Linked DNA regions of Arabidopsis thaliana. The protein of the gene in region 1 interacts with the protein of each later gene in a biochemical or structural test. Each region holds a gene or a part of one and is shown on either strand. Other genes may lie near its edges.

Region 1 (4,844 bases):
GCCTTTCGCTTTTTCTGATCCGTAAAGCATCCCGTGGAGTTGGAAGAAGCTGAATTTCTTGTTGAATCCATGGAGAGTCGTGTAGATAGAAACTTTTTAGCCAAGAAAGAGAGAACAAATCGATGATCAAAAAAAGAGATTGTCAACGCGCTCTGATACCTATTCAGATCTTTGAGACAGGGAAAACATATATATTAGGAAAGACCGAAAGAGTAAGTAATTTATTCCTCAAAGTAAACGTGTTTATGCAGAACACAATCGTCACTAACTTTGCTAATTACTTTGTCAACTCTAACTGACAAAGTCAACCACAAGACTAACAAATCCGATTGTTGTAATGTTGCATCCGGTTCGATCAAATCGGTGATTTCAATTTTGACTTCAGAATTCAGACTAGAGCATACCCGATCATTTGGTGTTGGGTTCTCTCTTTTTTGCTCTCTATTATCACTTCATCAGTTTGCTCTTTATTAATAGGATTCATGTCTCAAGGTTAGTAGTATATCTACAGATGCGAGGAGAAAATCAGCAATCAAAATCAGGAGTAGCAAAAATACAGATTTGTTTTCTTTACTTTTAATTCACACAAGTAACAACAAAATCTTGAAAATGTTCAGAGAGATTGAAACAAATAGACATGATACATAATCAGAAAACAAACACAATTCCCAAATTGTCTCCTCTGCTAATATGCTATTGTTTTTCTCAGGTATCTTCCACCTGCGAGTGGAACACAAAGCTCGGAAATGTAGTTGTTATATCCCTGCACACAATATCAGAGATCGGTGTTAATAATAACACAGAAAAAATTGGAAGTTGCATTGCCTAAACCTCGGATAAGTCTTGGTTTAGGAACTCACTTAAGATACTGGAGAGTCATATTCTTTAGAAGGGAAGGATGCCTGAGAACAAGGGTTCTCCACTCTTCCTTATCGATCCTCCCGTCATGTTTTGTATCAGCTTCCTCAAATGTCTGTGAAAGAAGAAACTTAGAAACCACTCTTTACTTTATTCTCAACTGCTATCATGAGTTGGCTATACAACAGTGGAACAAGAATATAGTATCGAGCAGGGTAGGAAGGAACCACACCTTGTCGATTATACTCTCTATGATTTCGTCTGACAGGTTCATGCCGGACTCAGCAAGAGTAGCCACCACCATTTGCTTCACCTCTTGCCTCTCTATGAAACCTTGCTGCTTAAGATCATATAGCTGAAACGAAACTGCAAAACAATGTTCCCGGTAACTGTTAGTGATATTTCATGGGTTACATGTAGCATGTCAACATCAGATAAATTGTATAGATGGTTTCTCAGATCAACTTTGTAAGATCAAAGACGTACAGTCAATCTTGTCTTCTATGGGAGCATTTGGATGAAAGACAGAGAGAGCACGCGCAAACTCCTCAAACCCCAGTATTCCATTATGCTTTGTGTCAAACAAATCGAATACCTGTGATTGGTACTGTCAAGTTATCTTTCAAAAAGGATCTTGGCAAATGGATAACAAAGTCTTTTGATTAAAAAAGAAGAACATACCCGGTCTGCAAACAAGCTCTCTTTTTTATTTGTCTTGAACAAGGCTAACTGAAATTCTTCCTGAACGACAAGACAGGTCAAGGAAAATCAGAAAAGGATGTCCAAAAGACGTAGCAATATGCATGATTCGTGAGGAGTATAAGTGAGTGGCATAAAAGACATATAATGATGCCCTTCCTTCATACCTTGTTTATTAGCCCATCATCAATCACAGCACTGCTGATTTTCTTAAACAGCTCATAGAGAGCCTCTATTTCACTCACGCTAACTGCACCCAAACGAGTCAATGATCAAAACACAGAAAGAAAGATTTGCATTCCTCTTAACAGAGAGCATCAACTAGAGTAATGGCAAGCCTTTGAATCATACATATAACTGGAAAAAAAAAGTGCATGGAAGTTAAAATAAGATGGAAAAGAAGTTGAGAGCATACAAACTGTCTCTCTCGCAAGAAGTTCAGGGTCACCAAGGCCTCCAGATTGTTTGTAAATATCGATATCAAAACACCGGAAAAAAGAGGAGCATACATGCTTGAAACCGTCTATGCACTGCGACATGATATATCTTGTAAATCAAAACTCTCCATGCCTGTTAAATAACAATAAAATGTAAGAACTTTCGAACCACTTGGAAGAATCTAAAGACATATGCATTTGAACAAGATAAGTACCTTTTAACCATTTCCTGGTTCGTCAAATAGGCAATGCTTTGTACACCTCAAAAAATTCTGCGATGGGAAGGAAATGAGATATAGTCAGTTATTAGCTCATCAAATTGCAAAACAGTTAAAGAAGAATTGACAGGAGCAAACAAGATTCATCATTCTCAGATCAGATCTGAATTAGACTAAAGCACCAGATACTATGAAACACAAACAGAGGAGACGCATATTATAAACGGTCGTAAACTTTATGCATTAATCTTAACTCCAGATTCATTTCCAGATTAACCAATGTATTCATGGATTAGGAACTATCTTTAAGCTAAAACACGAAACCCAAATCTAAGAAACAGCCCCAAAAAATACATGAACTAGGATAAAATGAGGAATCAAAAACACCCAATTTCACGTCAGAAATGCATCATGAATTTTGCGGGGAAAAAAAATGCATCATGAAGAACATAATAAAACTATCCAGACGGATTAATCGTCAGAAAATATAATCCTCTGAGGATCGACACCTGAATCTAATCGCGATATGAATCAGAGAAGTGATTAAGCTAAGGAGAAATGACGGATATGAGAAAAAGCGATCCAATGAGTTTTAGATTCCAAATCGTTCGGATTCAGAGATACAACAACGATGAATCTCGTTATATAAACTTGGTAATCAGCTCATGGATCTATCAGCTTGCGAAGAAATTAGTTGCTTGATTCTCAATCTCAAATTTTAACTTGTTTCCCATCGCGATTTTCCCGGAATAAACACACGAGATTACGAGGAAGCGACCGACCGCGAAATCGTAGAAAAGGGAGAAAGAGAAGAAGAAAAAGCCTTACGCCACGGCGGATGATGAGCCTTCCTTGCGGCGGCTCCGGCGGTTGAAGGTGACGGTGGTTGCGGTGGAAAACGCGAAAAAAGCTCTTATTGGGTAAGTGAGAGAAAAAAGGTCGACACGATTTTCTATAAGCAGAATGAATATATTGCAAAATTTTAAATATGCTAAGAAAAAGACCAAATTATTTTTGTTTGTTGGCGTTTTTATACTTTTTAAATTTAAAAAATAAATAATTTTGTTTATTTTTACTCGATGTTGATACAGTTGTAATAAAACTCCTTGTTACATTCACTTTCACACGTCGTCGTCTAGTGGAGCATGTGTCCATTTATGCGCTGTCTTAAACACCATCGTTTCAATAATCGTTCCTATACGACGGCGTGTCATGTTATTCGGATTCTGACTGTTGCTTTGGTCTGATTTGGTCTCTGGGTTTGAATTCGGTTTAAATTGTCTTTGGAAAAAATATTATAGCAAAAACCAGTATAAGCTTAGTTACATTAACCAACAATTAAAACTTTGATTAATGGTAAGAGAGGGACAAACTCTACTGGTAAAACAACAGATTGATCATGTTTTTTAACTTTTTTTTTAGGTAAAATTACAGTTACTGGTGAGCTACTTTGTACACAAGAAAAAAAAAGGAATGATAACGACATTCACACAAGTAAACGTGTTTAGGCGGCAACAGAAAAAAAAAAAAACACATATATGGTACTTGGTCAGAGATTCAATCTTGTGACTCATGTATTGTTTTGATTTTTCAGTTAGGGAGATCTTGTTTGCAAAGAGGACAACACGAGATGATACGAAGCCATTGATCTACGCATTTGAGGTGAAACCTATGCGAACATGGAAGCTTTCTCACTTCTTCTTTCTCTTTGTACTTTGCCAAACATATACAACATTCCTGCAATAATGAAACCGGTGGGTTTCAGTTTTGATATCAAGATTGATTTCTGACTATTTGACCTATTTCAGAATTCAAATTAGTGCTTACCGGATCATTGTTTGCTTGAGAAGAATCAGAAGTTTCATCAATGAGTTTGTATTTCCAACTTGGGAGACTGGAGATCTGGTCATCTGAAGCTCCTTTTTCCGAAGATCCAACGTTCATGTTGTAGCCGAGGAAGCTACTAACGAGAGGTACAACACAACAGAGCAGGAGGAAGAGAAGAAATGGGAAGGAGTAACAGAGAGCGTTCCAAGCGAGTAGGGAGATGCAGAGGACATGAAGGATTGGAGCATAGTGGAAAGAACCAAACCGAGAATCAAAAACCCATACATTACCTATCACAAACCATATCGCAAAGAATAGCTCCAGCGATGTCCGGCATTTGTTCATCAAATGCGAGCACCTAAAACACACACAAAAATAAGTCATTTTCCTAGAAATCTTTGCATTTTATGATCAAACTTGAAAAAACTAGATTTTTGTTAGTAACCTGGTGGTCTCTTCCCTGCTTCTTTGTTGCTGCTCAATATCGCCGAAGCTAAATGCATTTTCATGGCTAGTATCTTGCTGACGATACCGACCGTATAGTAACATAAGATTGAGCAGACATCCAACGTTGTAGCCAGTGATCCATAACCTCATCGGCCAAACAGGCCTCTCGTTTTTGGACAAAGCTAGTGTGGATGTTATCACAGTGATCTGTAAAAGTAAAGCGATGAGCTCTGATACCATCCAAGCGATAGAATTGAAAGGATTGGTGCCAAGATCGGATCTTGAGGCGTTCTGGTAATGAAAGACTCTTCTCAAGAAAATGAACCACCTTGCTCTAGATACCCTCATGGCAAGTCTC
Region 2 (4,420 bases), on another chromosome or scaffold:
TACAATTATTGCATTGAAAAGGTGATATATATGTTGATTACAGTAATTATAACTGCTGAAGCTGAAATTAATGGATTATGGATGATTGGATTCAATGTGGATACCAAGAAAAGAAAATGATTGATGAGAATTATTGGTGTATGATCTTATATCACAGCCACATGCGATAGGATTATATAAAGTCCACTAGCTATATATCTATTTTAATAGTATATTTTTACAATGATGTGATAAGGACAACCTCTTACTTATCAAAAAGGTGAAAGTAGATCAGTTGTGTTAGTTCATGGCTCAAATCTTGACACTTCTTTTTACATAATGACAAAATTAATAGCAGAAGAAGACTGTGTTTTATGAGTTGTTAAAAATTACATCTATATGTATGTTAAATATCATGTTGAATAGTTAACTAATCCTTAAGTAATGGTTAAGTTAGAGTGTCTTGTACACATAGCATTACTTCACATCCACGATACGTTACTAATGTATTATAGTGGCCATTTAAAACAAGTAATACATTTTTTTATATTTTATTTTTCATTTATATAAAATATAATTATGATTACATAACAAGAAGATACATACTTGCCAACTAAAAATTAAGATTTGTCGAGAAATTTCCTGAATAATTATGTCAGAGATATTCTCCGGGTAAAAAAAAAAGCAATTACATATAACCCGGGATATTTTTTTTTAATTATTATTTGGATAATTTATTTGACAGATACCTAAACTACGACGTCGTATGTACTTGAGTTGGTTCTGGGTCCGTTTGGTCTGATTCGTGCACAAGCTCGACGAAGAAAGGCCTGAGTGTATCTGTCCATAAATCTCGTCCAGATGCAGCGGCTCTTTGTCTCTTCCTCACCTCTATCATAACCAGCTCGTCCGTTAGCTGGTTTATCTCAACCACCATTGCGAAGTTACCTTTTTGCCCCTCGATCTTCATCCCCCATGTTTCCTTCTTCGCCACCGTCAGATTCTCCGCCGACACGATCTCCTCCAGCCTCTCCACCACCCTCTCCGCCGTCCACGCCGACACGAACCGTTCCACTCGGTCGTACTTTCTGGCGTCTCCGAAAAGACCGGAGAGATTGAACCCTGGAGATCCTGAGATGATGTCGAATGCGTTCATCCTCCTTGCTCCCATCTCGCTGTCGGTCTCGTCCGCCGGGAGTTTCATATCGGAGTCCTCTAGATGGAATTTAGACATCCGATCGTCGTAGCCCTGTTTGAACCATGGATCGTGGATGATCTCTTCGATAGTGATCCTCGTCTGCGGATTCGTGTCTAAAAGCCGAGTCAGCAGTCGCCGGAGATCCGGTGAGGTCCACTTGGGAATGCGAAATTCTCCCTTGTAGATTTTCCGGTACATAACCATGAGATTATGGTCGTTGAAAGGGAGATAACCGGCGTTGAGGACGAACAGTATGATTCCACATGACCATATGTCGATTTTAGCACCGTCGTACCCTTTCTTCGCCAAAACCTCAGGCGCCACGTACGCCGGCGTACCACAGAGTGTGTGGAGGAGGCCGTCGGGTCGGATCTGATCGGTAAGAGCGCTGAGTCCGAAATCAGAGATCTTCAAATCGAGCTTCTCGTCGAGGAGGAGATTCTCCGGTTTGAGATCACGGTGAAAGATGCCGCGGGAGTGGCAATATCCGACGGCGGAGATGAGCTGCTGGAAATAACGACGGCTAAGATCCTCGCAGAACCTGCCCTTGGAGACTTTGGCGAATAGCTCACCGCCCTTGGCGAATTCCATGACGAAGAAGATCTTGGATTTGGTGGCGAGGACCTCGAACAGGCGCACGATAGAAGGGTGGCGCAGACGGTGCATGATAGCGATCTCTCTCTGAATGTTGCCATTGAGTCCTCCTTTCTGCAGCCGTTGCTTGCTCACCACTTTGATCGCAACGCTCTGACCCGTCGCTGTGCTCCTCCCGTGGTACACTTTCGCGAAGGCGCCGCATCCCACCAATTTTCCGACCTCGTATTTGCCGAAGAGCTGTCCACGGCGGTTCTCCGGCGGAAATTCCACCGGGTCAGAATCTACCATTAAAAACAGAATCTGCTAGGTCAATTATGGTACACAGAAACTGAGGTCATTGCGAATGAATCAACGCCGTAGAAAAAAAAGAAAAGAAGTCTGAGAGAGAGAGTGTTGTTATTAATAGAAGAAGCGAAAGGAAAATTAGTAGTTTGAAAAGTAAAAAGATATGAACAAAAGTAACAGATATTTAGAGAGATCTGTTAGCAGAGAAAACAAAAGAGAGACAGACAAATTGGGAGGATTCGGATAAGAGATAAGCCATGCTCTGTATCGAGTTGTTACATATATATTACTGTCTTGAGGTAGGAGATGAGGGTATTTTTGTCAATTACTATCAGATTCTTTTTCCTTATTTTCTTCTTCTTTATTTTCTTTGTAAAGACGTGGGAGATTTTCTGTTTTGTTTTCTTAATATATCTATTAAAAAAAGAAGAAGAAGAAGATGAAGATGTGGACAAGAAGTTGAATTAGAACCATACAGGTGTCCCGTCGCTGTTGTCGTGTTGATTTGGTATCTCCGAGGGTTTAGGCTGTAGAATATACTCATTTCACACATATACGCTTCGTCGTATCTTCGGCTATTTGCTATAATATTATTATTACAAGAACATATAAACATGTTTCCTCCAATATTGTTGAATATTATTATTTTATGGTCAACTCAAAACGGAGAATTGTTCTTTCGACTAGCCTAGGCAGCTAGCTCTAGTTAGTTAGTAATTCAGCTAACCACTGCTTTGTTTAGTCATCAATCGTGGTTAAGTCCTTTGAACATCCAAATTCCCCTTATTAGTATTAGTTCAAGTCTCATTTTGAGCACCAGGCTATATATTGCGGTTGACAGGTTACTACAACTCCCGCCCCACTGCTCAAGGTTGGAATCGTCCTATAACTAGTGTCATTTCCTAATCTTCCTTAATCTTTTCAAATCACTATCTAAACTCTACGTTCATTTTTAATTATGATTCTTATGTTTATTTTTCCACTCCATCACTGTTCCAAATAACTTGAATTATTTATCAAATTTAAACAATACTTGGGAAAATATATTTCATGCTTTTTGTATACATTTCACAGTTGTTTATTTCACTATTTTTAGAAAATATATTTGCTTATGTTGGAATCATTAGTTAATACATTTGGAAAACATATGTCATTCCTTTTTAAAAATCTCCAGTTGTTTTTTCCCATATTCGTGGAAAAATAAATCGAGTCTTATGGGCAAATTGATCTATTTGATGCTTTTTGAAAAAAAGAAATATGACTACATTTAAGATTTCAATTGATTATTTTCAATATATGTTTCACATTATAAAGTACAAACAGTGCGCTTGAAAAAATAACTTTTGCCCAAAATAAAAAAGAAAAACAAATTTGATTAATATTTAACATTATCTCATTGTTTTTTTTTAATAGTTACTATTTTCTTACTTAGCTAAGTTGGAAAGTCAGTATAATTTTATAAAGATGTATTAGTTCCATGTATGATCACTACCCACAATCACACTAATTATGTCCCAATTCCTCAGACTTAAACATTTGACGACTTAGAAATCATCGCATTGCATTGTTAGAGTGCAAGGCTTTTATAATCTTGTGAAGTTTTGGTTAAAGTTTAATACCAAAAAAAAGAGGATAAATTTTGCAGTGTCAATTTTTATAGTAAATCTACGACGTGATCTACCCACCGCAGCGTACAACAAAATATAAAATCAATTTTAATTATTTTTGTAATTTATCCAAAACACACAACGTTTTAAAGATTAGATAAATCGTACGTTACTATTTTCGCTGTCACGCTGTGCCCATTTGTACATATATATAAATCCAAGCCACACATAAATTAGTACTATTTTTTTTTGGTAGGCATAAATTAGTACTACAGTATTCACATAAAACCAAATCAACATCTTTTTTAATATATATAAATCCATTAAAAGACATGTACGGGAATAAAATAAAAATAAATTACCGCGTTAATAATGTGATGTACGAAAGATTTCATTTGTTTTTAATTTTGATTTTTTCTGATGCTGTTTCATGGAAGCTTCTTTCGTTGGGGAAAAAGAGAAGGAGGAAGGAAAGAAGCTCGTTAAATAATTACGAAATCAAGGTTCTGTCAATAAAAATGGATGGTTATATAATTGCCCCTTTTCTTTCGTTGGTTCGAAAGGTTGCTCCAATCAAAATATCTACTGATTTTGAATACATTATTAATTGTTGACAAACAAAATAAAAGAATACATTATTAATTTAGCTTGTTACTTTTGGTCCCATGCAAGATTAATGTGACCATATAACCCATTTTTACGACAAAATTTAACGATATAATATATATGACCATAAATAACTTCTGAAGTAATT
Region 3 (4,478 bases), 4.7 Mb from region 1:
CTTATCCGTACATTTATTTTTCATCGTTTGTAACGTTATAATAAACTATATACAGGTCCTAAACGAATTCACTCATGGGAGTCAAGAGAAAGTGAGCAAGACAGAGTTCAAAGAAGTGTTGTCGGACATTTTGTTGGGTATGGCTGCTGGTCTGAAACGTGATCCTATCGTCATCCTCAGGATGGACGGTGAGGATCTCTCGGAGTTTGTCCACGGCCCTGGATATGAAATCGAGAGCATTTCTGTTTTCTCAGAGCTCTCCAGTAGCAAGGACGCATCGCTCCGTGATTGTATCGTCAAAGCTCTCCAGTCTCTTTCTGTTGATCATGGAATGCCTCCTTCCAACGACCCATGGGTACCTATTTATTTTATTTTTATATATTTCTGTTAAGCTATGGATTTTCCTAATTTAACTTCAAATCTAAATTTATATGATTGATAAAATAAAGCATATAATATTAAGAACCGTTTGTTTTTGTATTTTTACCAAAACCGTAAAAATACTTTTCGGGTGTTTTTTTTTTGTTGTACAAAATATCAGAACGATACTTACATGGTGGGAGTACATATGATACGTAATATGTATCCAAGTTCGTATTTGATGTTATATATGTTGCTAGAGACAACTGAGTTTTGCCTAAAAAGCAAAGTCCTTGTAACAGGTGATGAGCAACATCGTAGAACCAATTGTTGACTCTTGTCTTGATGAAGAAGATAAAAGAGAGAAAAGCGCGTCTCAGGAGAGATTCTTGGAAGCATTCAAGAGAGTCGTGGAGAGTGTGGCTCAGCGTCTCAATGAACAGCCCGTGATCGTTGCTCACAGCGAAAACACCTTTGATGGGAGCGGTATCAGGAGGCTCTTGTCCAATAAATTCGAATTCGATAAGGTAAACTACCATACATATATATGTTATCTAGCTTTTATGCTAAAGGAAAACTTTTTAAATGATGGTAACGAGTGATGATGATCCGGAACGGTTTGGTCGCAGGCACTAAACGTTGCCATGGAGACGATTCCAAAAGACCGTCAGGGTAAGGTGTCTAAAGGATATCTACGAGCTGTGCTTGACACTGTTGCACCATCGGCCACTTTACCACCAATAGGCGCTGTGTCCCAGGTAAATAATGCCCCGTCTAAATTATTTTGTCTTTTAAATTGTTTATTTTGCCTTTGAATTTACATGTTACAATTATTTGTTAAACAAATGAAACCAGAATTAGTGTTTTAATCAAAAATTATTAGTGAATTTTTATTTTTATTTTTTGAACGGCATTGATTAGTTAAGTTTGTTTTTGTTTATAAGATGGATAATATGATAATGGAAGCGTTGAAGATGGTGAATGGAGATGATGGAAATGTGGTGAAGGAAGAAGAGTTTAAGAAAACAATGGCAGAGATATTGGGGAGTATAATGTTGCAGCTCGAGGGTAGTCCCATATCGGTTTCCTCTAACTCGGTGGTTCACGAGCCGCTCACCTCGGCTACCTTTCTGCCGTCAACTTCGACTGATACAGAGGAGCCTTCAAACTAATCATAGAAGGGAATAAGCAGCACTAGCAGCAACAAATGTTATATGGTTTTGACTTTTGAGTGTTTACCCCCAAAAGTTTTAGATTAATGAGGAAAACCGTCTTTACTTTCAGATGTATAAAATTGAAAGTTTGGGGTTTCCTCTTGTTGGTGTGGTGATTCTACTCATGCCTTTTTTTTTTTTTTTCTAATGACCATGGGATGCAATGTTTACTCTGTTTTTTAATTTCGTTAAAATTTGTTTACGTTTATGATGCTTGAATGGCTATGATGAAACATTTGAGTTATCTTTAAAAGTGTGAAATAAATATTCTGAAGTTAATTGAAGAATTTGAAAATTTGATTACAAGAGCTTGGCTAAAACTACAAGGAGACCAGATTAGTACAAAAACTTAGCTAAATTTAATTAATTACGGTCATTAGCACAAAAAAATAATTTGTTTTTATTATATTATTATTGGTAAGTGGAAACACAAAAGAGGACCAAAAGGTCCAAAAACGAATAAACTGTATCTCTCATTCGCCGGAGTTTCCAGCCGTTTCTTTCCGATTCTCGGATTTTTCCTGGGAATCAAACGCATCGCCGAGAATCGGAAGAGAGGGATAAGGTTATGGCTCCTCATGGAGATGGATTAAGTGACATCGAAGAACCTGAGGTCGATGCTCAATCGGAGATTCTTCGACCGATCTCCTCAGTCGTCTTCGTCATCGGTACTTTATGATTTATGAAGTTTCCGATTCGATCGATTTCTTCTTCGTCTTCTTACTTACTTTTTGTGTGTTTCTGACGGAGCTGCAGCTATGCAAGCGGAGGCTCTTCCTTTGGTCAACAAGTTCGGACTCTCTGAAACTACTGATTCGCCGTTAAGAGCTCTCCTTTTTTCGATTTTGCTTGTTTGGATTTGATCTCCATGAATCTCTCACTTCAAAGTTTACTTTTTTGCAGGCTTGGTAAAGGATTGCCCTGGGTTCTGTATCACGGCGTGCATAAAGATCTTCGAATCAATGTAGTTTGCCCCGGAAGAGATGCAGCTTTAGGTAAGCTTTGCACTCAATGCTCTCAAAGATATGATAATTAGCCTGTGAATCTCTCAGCATTTTAGTATAGTAGCTTTGGTTTCTCAAGTCGCTGCATTGTTTGGTATGAGGGAAAATGAATGCACTTTTTTTATGCTACTAACTGAGATTTCTCTCCAGGGATCGATAGTGTTGGAACTGTTCCAGCTTCTCTCATAACTTTTGCTTCCATCCAAGCATTAAAACCTGACATCATAATCAATGCCGGAACCTGCGGTGGCTTCAAGGTACAGTTCTTTTACTTCTCGTGTGCTCTGTCTTGACTTCCAGCATCCTTGCTAAGAACCACGTCCTCTCTTCTTTCTTTACTTGTGGTTTGGGTTTGATTTTGTTACTGCTCGTTTACTCAACTCTGAGATTTGAGTTGCATCATAAAAGATCTCTCTCTCTCTCCATATCTCTATTTTTATGTTGTGAAAGTTGGTTTATTTTCATGTAATGAAAGTGCTGATTGGCTGAACATTTGCAGGTCAAAGGAGCCAACATAGGCGATGTATTCCTTGTATCTGATGTTGTGTTTCATGATAGAAGAATACCAATTCCGGTAGGTTCATCTTCCTTTCTTTCTTTTTTCCATCTTTAGTGATGATTCCCTTTTTGCCAGTTCATCTTGCAAGTTCCTGAGCAATGTTTGTTTATCTCTCTAGATGTTTGATCTGTATGGAGTTGGTCTCCGTCAGGCATTCTCGACACCCAATCTCCTCAAGGAACTCAATTTGAAGGTATTTAATAGACTCAAGATGCTACTTACTCTTTTAACTATTTCAATTTTGACAAAATTGGGGTGGTTCAGATTGGCAGGTTATCTACTGGTGACTCGTTGGATATGTCCACGCAAGATGAAACATTGATCATTGCCAATGATGCTACGCTAAAGGACATGGAGGTAGTGTAATGTTAACAATTCTTATTACTGAATCTAACCAGAAAATCAATGAAACTGTTGTTTTGAAACTCTTTTGGCTCTGGATTCTTCAGGGTGCTGCCGTGGCGTATGTGGCTGATCTTCTGAAAATACCAGTCGTGTTCCTCAAAGCCGTGACCGATCTAGTGGACGGAGATAAACCTACAGCAGAAGAGTTCTTGCAGAACTTGACAGTTGTGACCGCTGCATTAGAGGGAACTGCTACTAAAGTGATCAACTTCATCAATGGGAGAAACCTTTCGGACCTTTAACTTCTGTTCTCTTCCTTTTTTATGGAGAGTGATTTTTTAAAATGCGTTCAACGTGCTTGTTGCAGTTTCACTGATTTCCAGTGATCATATTTCTCGTTAATAAATTTCAAGTTATAAGACGTTCTCTCCCTAGTGTTGCTTAAATTTTGGTAAAGAAACAATTTCAAAGATAACTTATCGACCTGAAAGACGTTAAATCCCTTGATAGGCAAAATATACAACACTGTAAAATTAATTCGTAACCGAGACACTTGGTGAAACCTCAAGACACATAAACGATGAAATCAGAGGTAAAGAAAAATTGAGCTATCTTTCCCAATTAGAATTTCCGTCAAGCTCATCGCAGGACATCGTTGGGGTATTTCTATCTTTTGAACTTATACTACTCCAGACGGTAGCCGGAGAACAAGCTGGCCTCCGAAAACGCTGTAAAGAAAAATGTTGAAACTTTTGAGATATATACAAAGAGCTAAATAGCTAAACTGTTGAAGTGAAGGACTAATGCGTACCTTTTGACGTAGTAGTAACAGAAATCTGCCAAGATGAAAGTTTGAACAATTTCTGAGATCAGAACCATTGATGGCCACAATCCATAACCCAATGCTACAAGCAACCGTCCCCGCGTGTCCACAACCTATTTTCAGCACATTAGACAATGTATTCAGCTATTCAAAATCGACTTTTAAGGTACTAA

What was found. Proteins that work in one complex are often made in the same cells at the same time.
Region 2: the proteins of CBL3 (region 1) and SR1 form a complex in vitro, tested with the Arabidopsis thaliana proteins (one study listed by BioGRID).
Region 3: the proteins of CBL3 (region 1) and MTN1 form a complex in vitro, tested with the Arabidopsis thaliana proteins (one study listed by BioGRID).

Annotation. Positions count from the first base shown.
Region 1 is NC_003075.7:13,407,903-13,412,746, forward strand, and holds CBL3 (calcineurin B-like 3), read right to left. Parts: upstream 3,169-4,844; 5' UTR 2,722-3,168; intron 2,267-2,721; 5' UTR 2,210-2,266; intron 2,128-2,209; 5' UTR 2,097-2,127; coding exon 1,973-2,096; intron 1,808-1,972; coding exon 1,725-1,807; intron 1,600-1,724; coding exon 1,540-1,599; intron 1,466-1,539; coding exon 1,345-1,465; intron 1,225-1,344; coding exon 1,091-1,224; intron 974-1,090; coding exon 861-973; intron 764-860; coding exon 706-763; 3' UTR 520-705; downstream 1-519. Other genes in the region: CBL7 (calcineurin B-like protein 7), read right to left, coding at 1-71; AT4G26580 (RING/U-box superfamily protein), read right to left, coding at 3,803-3,949, 4,040-4,397, 4,485-4,844. UniProt on the Arabidopsis thaliana protein: Acts as a calcium sensor. CBL proteins interact with CIPK serine-threonine protein kinases. Binds calcium ions. Binding of a CBL protein to the regulatory NAF domain of a CIPK protein lead to the activation of the kinase in a calcium-dependent manner.
Region 2 is NC_003076.8:312,690-317,109, forward strand, and holds SR1 (serine/threonine protein kinase 1), read right to left. Parts: upstream 2,717-4,420; 5' UTR 2,063-2,716; coding exon 734-2,062; 3' UTR 501-733; downstream 1-500. UniProt on the Arabidopsis thaliana protein: CIPK serine-threonine protein kinases interact with CBL proteins. Binding of a CBL protein to the regulatory NAF domain of CIPK protein lead to the activation of the kinase in a calcium-dependent manner.
Region 3 is NC_003075.7:18,112,661-18,117,138, reverse strand, and holds MTN1 (methylthioadenosine nucleosidase 1), read left to right. Parts: upstream 1-1,962; 5' UTR 1,963-2,142; coding exon 2,143-2,242; intron 2,243-2,330; coding exon 2,331-2,394; intron 2,395-2,477; coding exon 2,478-2,569; intron 2,570-2,728; coding exon 2,729-2,835; intron 2,836-3,077; coding exon 3,078-3,152; intron 3,153-3,255; coding exon 3,256-3,330; intron 3,331-3,401; coding exon 3,402-3,494; intron 3,495-3,586; coding exon 3,587-3,784; 3' UTR 3,785-3,978; downstream 3,979-4,478. Other genes in the region: AT4G38810 (Calcium-binding EF-hand family protein), read left to right, coding at 56-355, 663-887, 990-1,118, 1,305-1,532; AT4G38790 (ER lumen protein retaining receptor family protein), read right to left, coding at 4,162-4,210, 4,294-4,418. UniProt on the Arabidopsis thaliana protein: Enzyme of the methionine cycle that catalyzes the irreversible cleavage of the glycosidic bond in 5'-methylthioadenosine (MTA) to adenine and 5'-methylthioribose.